Macaca fascicularis: one gene and its partner. Each later gene encodes a partner of the first gene's protein in a complex. Links are inferred from orthologs where the notes say so. Each region holds a gene or a part of one and is shown on either strand. Other genes may lie near its edges.

Region 1 (6,425 bases):
AAAAAAAAAAAAGTATATTTCAAATCTTTCTTAAGCCAGAGTCTGATCTTCCTTTTTGCATTAATAACAGTATGTGGACGCCTGCTTATTTTCATGCATCAATTAACTAATAGCAGTTTCCTCCCTTCTTTCCTTTTTCCCTTCCTCCCTCTTCCCTCCCTCTCTTCCTTCTTCCCTCCTGTCTCCCTTTGTCCCTCCATCCCTTCCTCTCTCCCTCCCCCTCCCGCTTCCCTCTCTCCCTCCCTCTCCTTCCTTCCTTGTCCTCCTCCCTTCCTCTCTCCCTCTCCTTCCTCCTTCCCTCCTCTCCCTCTTCCCTCCCTTCCTCCTTTCCTCCCTCCTCTTCCTCCCTCCCTCCTTCCCTCTCTTCCTCCCCCTCTCCTTTCTCCCCCTCCTCCTTCCCACTTCCCTCTTTCCTCCCCCTCCCCCTTCCCTCTTTCCTCCCCCTCTCCTTCCTACCCCCTCCCTCCCCCTCCTCCCTTCCCCACCTCTCCTCCTCCATCCTTCCTCTCCCTCCTCCCTCCCTCCCTTTTCGCTTCCTCTCTTCACCCCCTCCTCCCTCGCCCCTCCCCTTTTTCCCTTCCTCTATTCACCCCCTCCTCTCTCCCCCTCCTCCCTCCCTGCCCCCTTTCTCCCTCCCTCTCTCTTCTCCTTCCCTCCCTCCTTCCTTCCTCCCCCTTCCCTCCCTTGCTTGCTTCCTTCACGTTTGTGCACAAGCTCAGCAAGCCTGATTTAAAACGTTTAACAAGAAAGAAGAGGCAGGTGGATCACCTGAAGTCAGGAGTTCAAGACCAGCCTGGCCAATACGTGAAACCCCGTCTCTACTAAAAATACGGAAAAATTAGCCGGGCACGGTGGGGCGTGCCTATAATCCCAGAATTTTGCGAGGCCAAGAGGTCACCTGAGGTCAGGAGTTCGAGACCAGCCTGGCCAACATGGAGACACTCCATCTCTACTAAAAATACAAAATTAGCTGGGCGTGGTGGTGGGCGCCTGTAACCCCAGCTCCTCAGGAGGCTGAGGCAGGAGAATCGCTTGAACCCGGGAGGCGGAGGTTGTAGTGAGCGGAGATTGCGCCACTGCACTCCAGCCCGGGCGACAGAGCAAGACTGTCTTTTAAAAAATAATAAAAAATAAAAGATAATTTTTAAAAAGCCCCAATCCCAAATGCACCTTGCAATCCAAAGGGAAGAAGTTTTGGGGAGAAGTTCTTCCCATTTGGGGGGTGCTCCCATTTTCCTCTCTCTTCCCTCACCCCTTATTCTCTCTCAGGGATAGGGGTTCAGTTCGGAGGTGTCCCTGAGCCACACGTCCTCGCCTCTCCCCGTAAACGGTGGCGTCCCCCTCTCTCTTTCCCGTTCCTTCCCTTCCTTCCTCCCACCATGAGGGAATCTCCCCTCCACTCCCACTCCCGCCAAGGCACCGTGATCCTCATTCTCACTCATATTGTCAGTGCCCGTCAGGAGACTGGGCTGTTTTTGTCTGTTTCTTGGGGACGACAGATTCTGAGGAAAAAGGGCCAAGAGCTGGTTGTCGCCCTGAGAAAGTTTCTCCTCAGGCAACGGGTGCCAGGACTGGCGGCGCCTAGCACCTTCACCTACAACCAGAAACTAGCCGGCTACCTTCAGGAGCAGGGAGGACCTAAAGGCGAGGTGCAAAACCAGCTGGCGCAGCGACTCCGCAAGCCTCTCACACCTCAACCCAGGTTTCCCGCCACCAAGAAAAGGCACGAGGACGTCCTGCGCGCTAGCTCCACCCCCGGGAGGCGCGCTCGCGGAGTCTGAGGCGCATGCGCAACTGGAAACAGCGTCTGCGTTTCCGCGGCTGAGGTAATTCCGCCATCTTTCACCCGAACGTCCCGGGAAAACTACAAATCCCAGAATCCTCTTTGGTGTCACATATTTTTAGGCGGCGGCCGCAGCGCCTGATTGTTCTTGAAGCACATCTTACTAACTTTTCTCTGTTTCAGACTGCCTTTTCCTCCCTCTTTCCGTTCCCTGATTCCTCCTCTTCCTGCTGGTCTCCTTCACGCCCTCACTTTAGGATTTTGAGACTTTCCGGGACCCCACTGTCACCCCTGTCACCCGCTCCTCGGCCCAGCACTCCGCTGGCAGGAAGACCGGGCTGCGAATCTCCCCGGGAAAACGCCGTAGATTCGCTTCTTCCTCATTGGCCGAAGCGGGGGGGGCGGGGCCCAGCGCGGACCGAACCCCCGTCCCCGCCCACACTCTCTGGTATATAAGTCGGCGCGGCGCCGCGGCGGGCGTTTGGGGAGGCCCGTGAGCTGACGGGCCAGTGAGCGAGCGTCGGGAATGGGCGGAGGCGTTGGGGTCCGGGCCGTGGGTGTGGAGGCGGAGAGGAAGGCGTGGTGTGGCGTCTCCAGGTGATTGCGATTGGGGGAAGGCAGAGGAACCAGAGAACGACTCAGCCGTTTCGGGGGAAGAGGAAGTTGGACAACACCGGCTGTTTTAGTGCTTTTTATTTTTCCCCAATTCAGCAGAGAATATTTTCGAGGGGGGTGAGTTATAATGACCTATCGCGTTTTACTGAGCCCAGTTCCACTCCTGCCCTTCCTCGGCTTTGTAGGGTCTCTCTGCTCCTTCGGAAGCGCTTCTAAGAAGATGGGCAGAGGGGGGAGGTGTGCTACCAACAGCTCATGAATAATTCATGAGCACCGCCCTTCGTCGGGAAGCCCTGCCCCTCCGGATCGCGCTGACGCACGCTGCGTTTACCAAACTTAAGGAAGCGACGTCACAGGCCCTACCCCTAAGACGGGAGGCGGGGCGCCACCTCCAGCACGTGCTGCCTGTACCCGCGCAAGCCCAAAAGGGTGTGCGCAGGCGCTGCTCACTAGGGGGAGGAAGGAGGCGGGGTGGGGAGGTTGTTGGATTTAGAGCCGGGTGGAGACCGCTGAGACTCATTCCTCAGGAACAAGGGTCGGGTGTCAAGGAGACCTTTTCACACCAGGTCCCGTCCCCCGCCTACGGTGGGTGGGATCGCGCGGCAGAGACAAAGGAGATCAGTAGGGCCGGACCTAGCTGCGCAGGGAAGTAGGGTGTCAGTTTGGGGTGGTGGGCTTTTGCGGGGGCTGTGTGGGGGGTTATATTTAAACTCCCAGAGCCGTTAAGTTGGTTCGTACTCCGATGCGCGCGCAACCAGGGTGGTGGCGGAGTGCGCATGCGTGGTTCCGGGGCGAAGGGAACGCGCGCTTGCCGTGCGCGCTCGCGGCGGGGTGGTAGTGGCGGAGGAGAAAGGGGTCGGCGCACGCGCGGTTGAGTGCTCGAGTAGTTCGGGTGTCGCGGGCATCTTGTTTTGGTCTCGCGGGCGAGTGGGGCGCACTTCGCGGGGAGGCGCTTGGGCGCGAGACTAGGCGAGAAGAGCAGAGCTGCGCGCGCACTCGGGAAAGGGGGGGAAGGGAGCAGGGTCCAGGCAGGGGGGGTTAAGCCCCCTGATCCCCCTCGTTACCCCGACTGGGACGGAATAAGGGGAGGAAATGATCGAGATGGCGGCGGAGAAGGAGCCGTTTCTGGTGCCGGCCCCGCCGCCGCCGCTCAAAGATGAGTCGGGCGGAGGGGGCGGCCCCACTGTGCCACCGCACCAAGAGGCCGCCTCTGGGGAGCTCTGCGGCGGGACGGAGCGTGGTCCGGGTCCTTGCGCGCCGTCTGCGGGGTCCCCGGCCGCTGGGGTCGGTCGAGAGAGCCCCGGGGCCGCGGCCACCCCCCCCGGTGGTCCCCAGGCGCAGCAGCACCGAGGAGGCGGCCCCCAGGCGCAGTCGCACGGGGAGGCCCGCCTGTCGGATACCCCGGGGCGAGCCGCTCCCCCGGACGTGGGGGAGGAGCGCCGGGGAGGGGGCGGGACAGAGCTGGGTCCCCCTGCTCCTCCTCGACCCCGCAATGGCTATCAGCCCCACCGGCCACCTGGGGGGGGCGGGGGCAAGAGGAGAAATAGCTGTAATGTAGGGGGAGGTGGGGGAGGCTTTAAACATCCGGCCTTCAAGAGGCGCAGGCGGGTGAATTCGGACTGTGACTCTGTGTTACCCTCCAACTTCCTCCTGGGGGGCAATATCTTTGATCCCCTAAACCTGAATAGCCTCCTGGATGAGGAAGTGAGCCGCGCCCTCAACGCAGAGACCCCTAAGTCATCCCCCCTTCCGGCCAAAGGGCGAGATCCAGTGGAGATCCTCATCCCCAAAGATATTACTGACCCGCTCAGTCTCAATACTTGCACTGATGAGGGCCATGTAGTTCTTGCTTCGCCACTCAAGACTGGTCGGAAGCGGCATAGACACCGGGGACAGCACCACCAGCAGCAGCAGGCAGCCGGAGGGAGTGAGAGCCACCCCGTGCTGCCCACAGCCCCTCTCACCCCCTCACTCCACGGGGAGGGCGCCTCACAGCAGCCGCGGCACAGAGGCCAGAACCGGGATGCCCCCCAACCCTATGAACTCAACACAGCCATCAACTGCAGGGATGAAGTGGTGTCTCCGCTTCCATCTGCTCTACAGGGTCCCTCAGGCTCCCTATCAGCCCCTCCAGCTGCCTCAGTTACCTCTGCACCCCCATCTTCCTCCTCCCGACATCGCAAACGTCGCAGGACTTCCAGCAAGTCGGAGGCAGGGGCTAGGGGTGGAGGCCAGGGTTCCAAGGAAAAGGGCCGAGGGAGTTGGGGAGGCCGTCACCACCACCACCACCCACTGCCTGCAGCAGGCTTCAAAAAGCAACAGCGCAAGTTCCAGTATGGGAATTACTGCAAATACTATGGGTACCGCAATCCTTCCTGTGAGGATGGGCGCCTTCGGGTGTTGAAGCCTGAGTGGTTTCGGGGCCGGGACGTCCTAGATCTGGGCTGCAATGTGGGCCATCTGACCCTGAGCATTGCCTGCAAGTGGGGCCCGTCCCGCATGGTGGGCTTGGATATAGATTCCCGGCTCATCCATTCTGCCCGTCAGAACATCCGACACTACCTTTCCGAGGAGCTGCGTCTCCCACCCCAGACTGTGGAAGGGGACCCGGGGGCAGAGGGTGAGGAAGGGACCACCACCGTTCGAAAGAGGAGCTGCTTCCCAGCCTCGCTGACTGCCAGCCGGGGTCCCATCGCTGCCCCCCAAGTGCCCTTGGATGGAGCGGACACATCAGTCTTCCCCAACAATGTTGTCTTCGTCACGGTAAGAGGGTCCAGAGGCTCTTGGAATAGGGGTCAGGTGTGAAGATGAGATTAAACGGGAATGTGGCAGGGAAGGTTATGACCCAGTTCCTCAAAAGAGAGGTCTGGGTTGGCAAGTGAGAGTCTCTGCTGGGCATCTCTCCCCTCTTATAACCTGAAAAGGTGGGGTCCTCCCCTCTTATAACCTGGAAAGGTGGGGTCTCTACCTTGGGGCATTGACCCTGGAGTCCTTTCTCATGACTGCAAGGATCTCCAAGATAAAGGAAGACTCTTTTTTTTTTTTTTGCAGTGCTCTGGGCTTGGCCTATAATCCACACTGGTCCACCTTCCCTTCCCTTGAAGGCTGCTGCTCACTAGGGAATTCGATCCAGGTGGAACTTGGTCCTCAGATTGACTGAAGGAGCCTGAGATGGGGGTCGGGCATGGAATGTCTTCTAGGGAGATTAGGGTAGCAGCAGACTAATATTGGCGTTTCTGCCCTTTGATAGCCACCTTGCTCCCATCAGCGGCTTTTGTTTTTCTAGACAGTTTGTGAAGAGTGTCAGGAACCCAAGTGACTTGGCTGTAGATCCTCTCCACATTGACCCTAGATAATGGGAGAGGGAAGAACCAGAAACTCCTCTGCAGAGAGGAGAGCCCCATGCCCCACGGAGTCCCCTGACCCCACACAGCTCCCCAGAGAACTCTCCAGTTAGGCCGCCTGCTGGGATCTTTGGCATTGCATTGGGTTAAGCCTTGAAGAATGGTCTTTTTAGAGGGTTGTGATGAGCTTATCTTCTAGAAAAGGCTTCCTAAAGGATGTGGCTCTTCATTTCTCTCAGAGAAAGGAAAGAATAGTCGTGAAACTTTGCCAGCCCCAACTGCAGGGAAGGAACCACAGGTCTGCCTTTGAAACCTGGGTTGGTTACCCTTGCAAAACCTGCAGTCACTCCACTTAATGTCTGTGGGTGAGAATAAGCACAGGATATGGTCCTGGGACCCCAGCTATAGAAGACCTCATGGATAATTTGCAACATTTAAAATTACTCCGGCTCCCTCAACATTTTTGGCTTACCATCAGTAGGAAGAAGCAGAGGCAGGAAGGTGTAGAGGAGAAAACAAAACTCAAAGAGGGCAGGCACCTTTTGGGAGTTAGTCTGAGAAGAACGTGGCCACGGGCTAAAGTGAGGCAGCAGGACTCCATCGGCCTCAGAGCAGGTTGCCTGGGAGCAGGGGTTCTTCGATTCCCTCCGTTGACCTCACTGCCTGCTGATACTTGCCCTCAG
Region 2 (6,246 bases), on another chromosome or scaffold:
GCAGGCTCTACTGCTGATTTTCTCTCTTGAAAAAATTAAGTTATAAAGGGCAGACTACCTGCTCTCCAATTCATTTCCTTGTCAAAGCCCTAAGGAAAAGTAGACAGAAATATATAGGCGCAGAAAGCCACAATTTTCCCAGAAACCAGACTTTCCTTATCATTCTCATCTCTCAGCCCAGAGACCCTCCTTCATTCTTTTCCTAAGGATTATTTTTGTGGCTTGAAGTATTTAAGTTCAGAATGATTTACCTTCGATTTAGATTAAATAGCAAGGAACATAAGATATGGTATAATTTAGCTTCTTTATACATTGACTGTAGAGAATCAGGAAGTTATAATACTTTCGTTAGTCTTGATCCTCAAAGTCCATACTTCTCAATGTCCTGTGATAACAGGTATGTGTGTTGTCACTCCACACATTCCAAATCAAACTCATTGTCTTTCTTATCCACACCTGTTCTTTCTACCATCCTCAACTTATTTAAGGATGCCATATTCCACCAAGTTAACCAATCAAGCTACTTATTAGCTGTGTGGATTTTGAGGAAGTTACCCCATCTCTCTGCGGTCTATAAAATATGGATAAAAATCATACTCACATTATAAGGTTGTTAGCATTAGCCAAAATAATGTAAATAAAAGCACTTCAAATTGCTAAGATATAGAACACAAGTAACCATTATTCTATCCAAACTCTTGTTAAATCCTACCAGTTTGACTTTTGAAATGGCTCTCATCTCCATCCAGTGTTTTCTACAACTACTGCTACAACTGTCACTAGAATATGCCAATAGTTTATAAACTGTTCTGTAAGTCATCCATTCTCAGCAGAAGCCTATGTATAACCCATCTAAAATACAGACCTGGTTTTGTGATGCTTCTGTCAAAACTTGCAACATTAGAAATTCCTTAGCACCTTCCCATAACATAATATGCAGTTTAAGAAAACATTGTTTAAAAAAAAAAAAGTCACGACGCAGTGGCTCACGTTTGTAATCCCAGCACTTTGGGAGGCTGAGGCGGTGGATCACGAGGTCAGGAGATGGAGACCATTCTGGTTAACAAGGTGAGATCCCATCTCTACTAAAAATACAAAAAAAAAAAAAAAAAGAAAACAAATTAGCCGGGTGTGGTGGCGGGCGCCTGTAGTCCCAGTTACTCGGGAGGCTGAGGCAGGAGAATGGCGTGAACCCGGGAGGCGGAGCTTGCAGTGAGCCAAGATTGTGCCACTGCACTCCAACCTGGGCAACAGAGCAAGACTCCAAAAAAAAAAAAAAAGTAACATTTTAGTTGCTTTAAATGCAGAATAAAAGCTACTGGGTAATAATACCAGTAATTTTATATACATTTTTGTAAATCCTCACAATCCCACTAGGTAGCAGTTTCTTCCATCTTCTTAATACAAAAACTCAAAAAAGTTATGTGACTTGGCCCAAGCTAGCTAAGTAAATTATCCCAGGTATGTTTGATCCCACATTGTCTACCTTTTGTTAGAATTTCCTGCAATTTATCACCATGGACTCTATGTTCTGACTCAGGAATTCTTAATCTGAAGTCCATGCAACTTTGTCTGGACAAGAATTCTTGTGGGCTCCGTTAAATTGTAAATAATACATTTTAAAGATAAGGTAAAATTAAGACTCTTGTACAAATATAAAATGGAATACATGGTAAAGATTTAAGCACAGTCATGGGTTGCTTAATGACAAGGACACATTCTGAGAAATGCATATTCAGGTGAGTAAGTACATCGTAGGGTATGTAGTTATTGTATGATGTACTCACCTACAAACCTAGGTAGTATCGCCTACTACACACCTATAATCTTATGGGACCACTGTCATACATGCGGTCTGTCGGTATGTGGTGCTGGACTGTAAATAAAGGAATCAGTTAAGTGTTAAAAACCAGTTCAAAGAAGAATTTAAAAAGCAGGTACGGCCGGGCGCGGTGGCTCAAGCCTGTAATCCCAGCACTTTGGGAGGCCGAGGTGGGAGGATCACAAGGTCAGGAGATCGAGACCATCCCGGTTAACACGGTGAAACCCCGTCTCTACTAAAAAATACAAAAAACTAGCCGGGCGAGGTGGCGGGCGCCTGTAGTCCCAGCTACTCGGGAGGCTGAGGCAGGAGAATGGCGTAAACCCGGGAGGCAGAGCTTGCAGTGAGCTGAGATCCGGCCACTACACTCCAGCCTGGGCGACAGAGCCAGACTCCTTCTTAAAAAAAAAAAAAAAAAAAAAAAGCACGTACATAGGCAATAAGGAACGTTGAAATAAATATTAATAAATACTGCTCAGAATAATAATTAATTGCATCTTTACTGGACAAACTCATTTCCATGTTGTTGTAGCGGGTTACATGGTTGAAAAATAGTTCAAAGATCACGAAAGACAGATAACCTGGAAGACTGAGTTAGACAGGACACCAAGTCATTTGTGTGTGTTTGCTATTTAAAATTATTTCGTAATTTTTCCTGAGGAAATTATATGCGAAATGTTTGTTTGGAGACGGAGCCTCTCTCTGTCGCCCAGGCTGGAGTGCAGTGGCGCGATCCTGGCTCACTGTAATCTCCACTTCCCGAGTTCAAGATTCTCCCAACCCGGCCTCTTAAGGGACTACAGGCGTGCACCACCACTCCCCGCTAATTTCTGTGTTTTTAGTAGAGACGCGGTTTTGTCACATTGGCCAGGTTGGTCTTGAACCCCTGACCTCAAGTGATCCGCCCGTGTCGGCCTCCCAGAGTGCTGGGATTACAGGCGTGAGCCACGGTGCCCGGCCTCGCAAAATGTTTTAAAAGGTACATACATGTTTTCCTGAGAAGCTAATCCATAACTTTTATTAGGTTTTCAAAAGCGTTTCACAACAGGTTAAGAATCATTGTTCTAGTCACTGCTTACAATTCAAGTCCCTCAACACGTAGTGGCCTGTGTCTTCTGCTTTGTCTGAATCTTCTCGTCTAAATTTCCTTACTAAATTTTCAAGGCCCAGGTTAAATGGCATCTTACTCTTTGAGATGTTCCACCACCCTGTGTCCTCTAATTAACTGCCTCCTCATTTGTTTTCGCTTAAGTTTTTTTGCTAACGCACTCTGCACACCGTATCTAGCACTTGTTAGTTCCCTTCCATAACTGGATTTTTAACTCTTTGAGGACTATGGCAGAGTCCTGCAAAAGAAGATGATAATTTTAGAATATAAATCCTCACGTTCACTATCCTCTGGCAGCCACAAGTCAGCTCCAATCTGCGAAATACTGCACTGTCTTTACTGACTACTGCTTCTCTCGGCACCCGTACTTCCACAAGGACAACGTCATAGGCAGGGCGCGCCCCAAACCTCCCCATGCTGGGCCCCTATGCGCCCCTACTCTCTGAAAACGAGAACTACAAGTACTGCCGGAAGACTTTTGCGCGTGCGCATAGATAACTAGGTCAAGGAATTGATGGATGCGCAGGCGGGAGGCGGGGTAAGAAGGACGACAAATGATAGAGTGGACCGCAAGAAAAAGGACGGAGAGTTAATCAGACGTCGCCCAAGCTGTGCGACCCTATACGCCGCTTGTAACTTACTCCGTTCAACTCCCAAAATACAGGGTCAAGTACTGCGGCCTTCAGCCCTTTCCGTCTCCCGATCCTGATAGTCTTGGTTACTTTCGCGTCATAGGATGAGCGACAACGTTCGCCGGTCCCGCTCGAGAAAGACGGGCCCAAGGCAGTGCGCGCGCCACCTACGTCACAGGCGAGGTGGTTCCGGGAGGGCGGGGCATCGGAGAGCGCGGCCGGCTGAGAGCCTCGAAGCCAAGGAAGAATTTGATTGGCGGTTTGAAAACGGCGGTTTTTGGCTTGGGCGGAGGTGGACGGGCCAAGTTTTGGGTCCTCATCTGGTGAGGTCCCGCGTTAATGACGTCACATTCTTTCGCGGGAAAAATTCGAAAGTGGATTTTCTGTAATTTTGACAGGTGAGGTGAAGTGTTTCTCGAGCTTTCCTAGGAATGGCTTGAGCGATTTGGGGCGAAGGGACAAAAGACTCTGCTCCGTAAGAAGAGAACCGGGAAGGATGCTGTTTGGAACCAGGATTAGTAACAGCTACTCGGACTGCTTGTAATAAGGGTTGCCTCTTCACCGCTTTTCCCAGGCCCTGCTTTGCAATTTCGAGTACGTATGAGGACCAAAGGGGACTTTGCTGTTCGTATTTAGGACTGATAAAGGATCGAGTCTCCATTGTCATTTGGTGACACAGGATTATGGTTATTAGAATCTTGGCAAATGATATGTGGGTTTCCTTTGTTTATTTGGACTGGATGGTTTCTTAACAATGTTGAATTCGTGATTCCAAAACTTTGTTATCTGAACTATTTAGAGGTTCAGGGTTAGGTTCAAAAAATCCTCCTTGTCTAAAAACAAAAGGAAAAACATCTTGTAATTAAATGAAAAATGGCTCATACTTTACTGAGAACACCGAGTTTTATGTATATGTATTGTATCTGTACATATCGTAGCACAAGGTATATATATGTGTGTGTATGTACGTATATCTGTAGATGTATGTATGTATATAATTATCACAGAACATTTGGGATCTTTAAAAACTTCTTTGGAGATTAATCTTTCACCTGTTAGAAGTCGGTCAGCAGGTGAATTGGCTGGTAGACGTGGACAGATGAACACTTGGAAAAAACTCTTTATCTTTGCATCTCACTTAAATATATGATGCTGTTATCTTAAATAATTTTTTCTGATTAATGCTAAGTTAAGAAAGGGTGGCCGGGCGCGGTGGCTCAAGCCTGTAATCCCAGCACTTTGGGAGGCCAAGACGGGCGGATCACTAGGTCAGGAGATCGAGACCATCCTGGCGAACACGGTGAAACCCCGTCTCTACTAAAAAATACAAAAAAAAAAAAAAAAAAAACTAGCCGGGCGAGGCGGCGGGCGCCTGTAGTCCTAGCTACTCGGGAGGCTGAGGCAGGAGAATGGCGTAAACCCGGGGGGCGGAGCTTGCAGTGAGCTGAGATCCGGCCACTGCACTCTAGCCCGGGCGACAGAGCCAGACTCCGTCTCAAAAAAAAAAAAAAAAAAGAAAGGGTGTTGACTTTCAGTGAAGAAGTATTAGAGCTCTTGTAGATTTTAAAAGATCCAGTTAGCTTTTTTTTTGAGGTTTTCTCCTGTAATCGAATTTAACCATCCTTTAAGAGTTTCCATCTTCCAAGTTCTTTTTAAACTATACCTTTCCAGAAGTAATATCTCAATTTAGGAAAATAATAGAGAATTTATCTTGCAATTGCGAAATAGCATATAAGTAATCCTAAATTAGTAAATATTGGGTTCCTAATATGTAAATTGTAATACTTATTCTTCAGGATTATGAGACTGATAAATACTATATGTAAAGTGTCTCGTCCAATTCCTGCTTGATACATAGTATGTAATCAATAAATAGTTATATAATATATATGATTACACACAATAATTAATTACATATTATATAACAGTAATATATTTATATATTATATAATTACATAATAATTATAATGTATATAATTAACATCATATAATGTATATAATGTAGTTTATAATATAGCACTTTGGGAGGCTGGGAGGATTGCTTGAGCCCAGGAGTTTGAGGCTGCGGTGAGCTATGATTGCAACACTGCACTCCAGCCTAGGTGACAGAGAGAAACCCTGTCTCTATCAAAGAAAAAGAAAAGTTAAAAAGCAAACAAAAGCGAAACCTCCAAATAAAGCATTTAACAGTCTCTAGCATATGGTAGCACTGAATACATGGTAGCTATTAAACAGATCTGATATTAATGACTGCCACATGCCCAGCACTGTGTCTGTACCATGTATTCTCATCTATGTACACAGCATATCCAGCCCAGGAGTGGTTTTCTGGATCTCTCTTTTATCTTCTTGGCATTATTAGGCATCAGCAGTTTATGTGCGCTGGAGGGGAGGGAGATAAGATGTGAGAGTTATATTTCTTTTTTTTTTTTTTTTTGAGATGGAGTCTCACTCTGTCATCCAGGCTGGAGTGCAGTGGAGCGATCTCTGCTCACAGCAACCTCCGCCTCTCGGGTTCAAGCAATTCTCCTGCCTCAGCCTCCTGAGTAGTTGGGACTACAGGCGCATGCCACCATGCCCAGCTAATTTTTGTATTTTTAGTAGAGACGGGGTTTCACCATGTTGGCCAGGCTGGTCTCGAGCTCCTGATGTCATGGTCCACCCGCCAGGGCCTCCCAAAGTGC

Evidence for each region. Proteins that work in one complex are often made in the same cells at the same time.
Region 2: MEPCE (region 1) and LARP7 share a complex: the UniProt entries of both Homo sapiens proteins name them as parts of the 7SK RNP complex. The link is inferred for Macaca fascicularis from reciprocal best matches to the Homo sapiens genes MEPCE and LARP7.

The regions. Positions count from the first base shown.
Region 1 is NC_088377.1:49,006,624-49,013,048, forward strand, and holds the start of MEPCE (7SK snRNA methylphosphate capping enzyme), read left to right. Parts: upstream 1-2,262; 5' UTR 2,263-3,490; coding exon 3,491-5,161; intron 5,162-6,425. UniProt on the Homo sapiens protein: S-adenosyl-L-methionine-dependent methyltransferase that adds a methylphosphate cap at the 5'-end of 7SK snRNA (7SK RNA), leading to stabilize it.
Region 2 is NC_088379.1:118,137,633-118,143,878, reverse strand, and holds the start of LARP7 (la-related protein 7), read right to left. Parts: upstream 3,716-6,246; 5' UTR 3,572-3,715; exon of another isoform or gene 2,810-3,571; intron 1,877-2,809; 5' UTR 1,788-1,876; intron 1,086-1,787; 5' UTR 991-1,085; intron 1-990. UniProt on the Homo sapiens protein: RNA-binding protein that specifically binds distinct small nuclear RNA (snRNAs) and regulates their processing and function.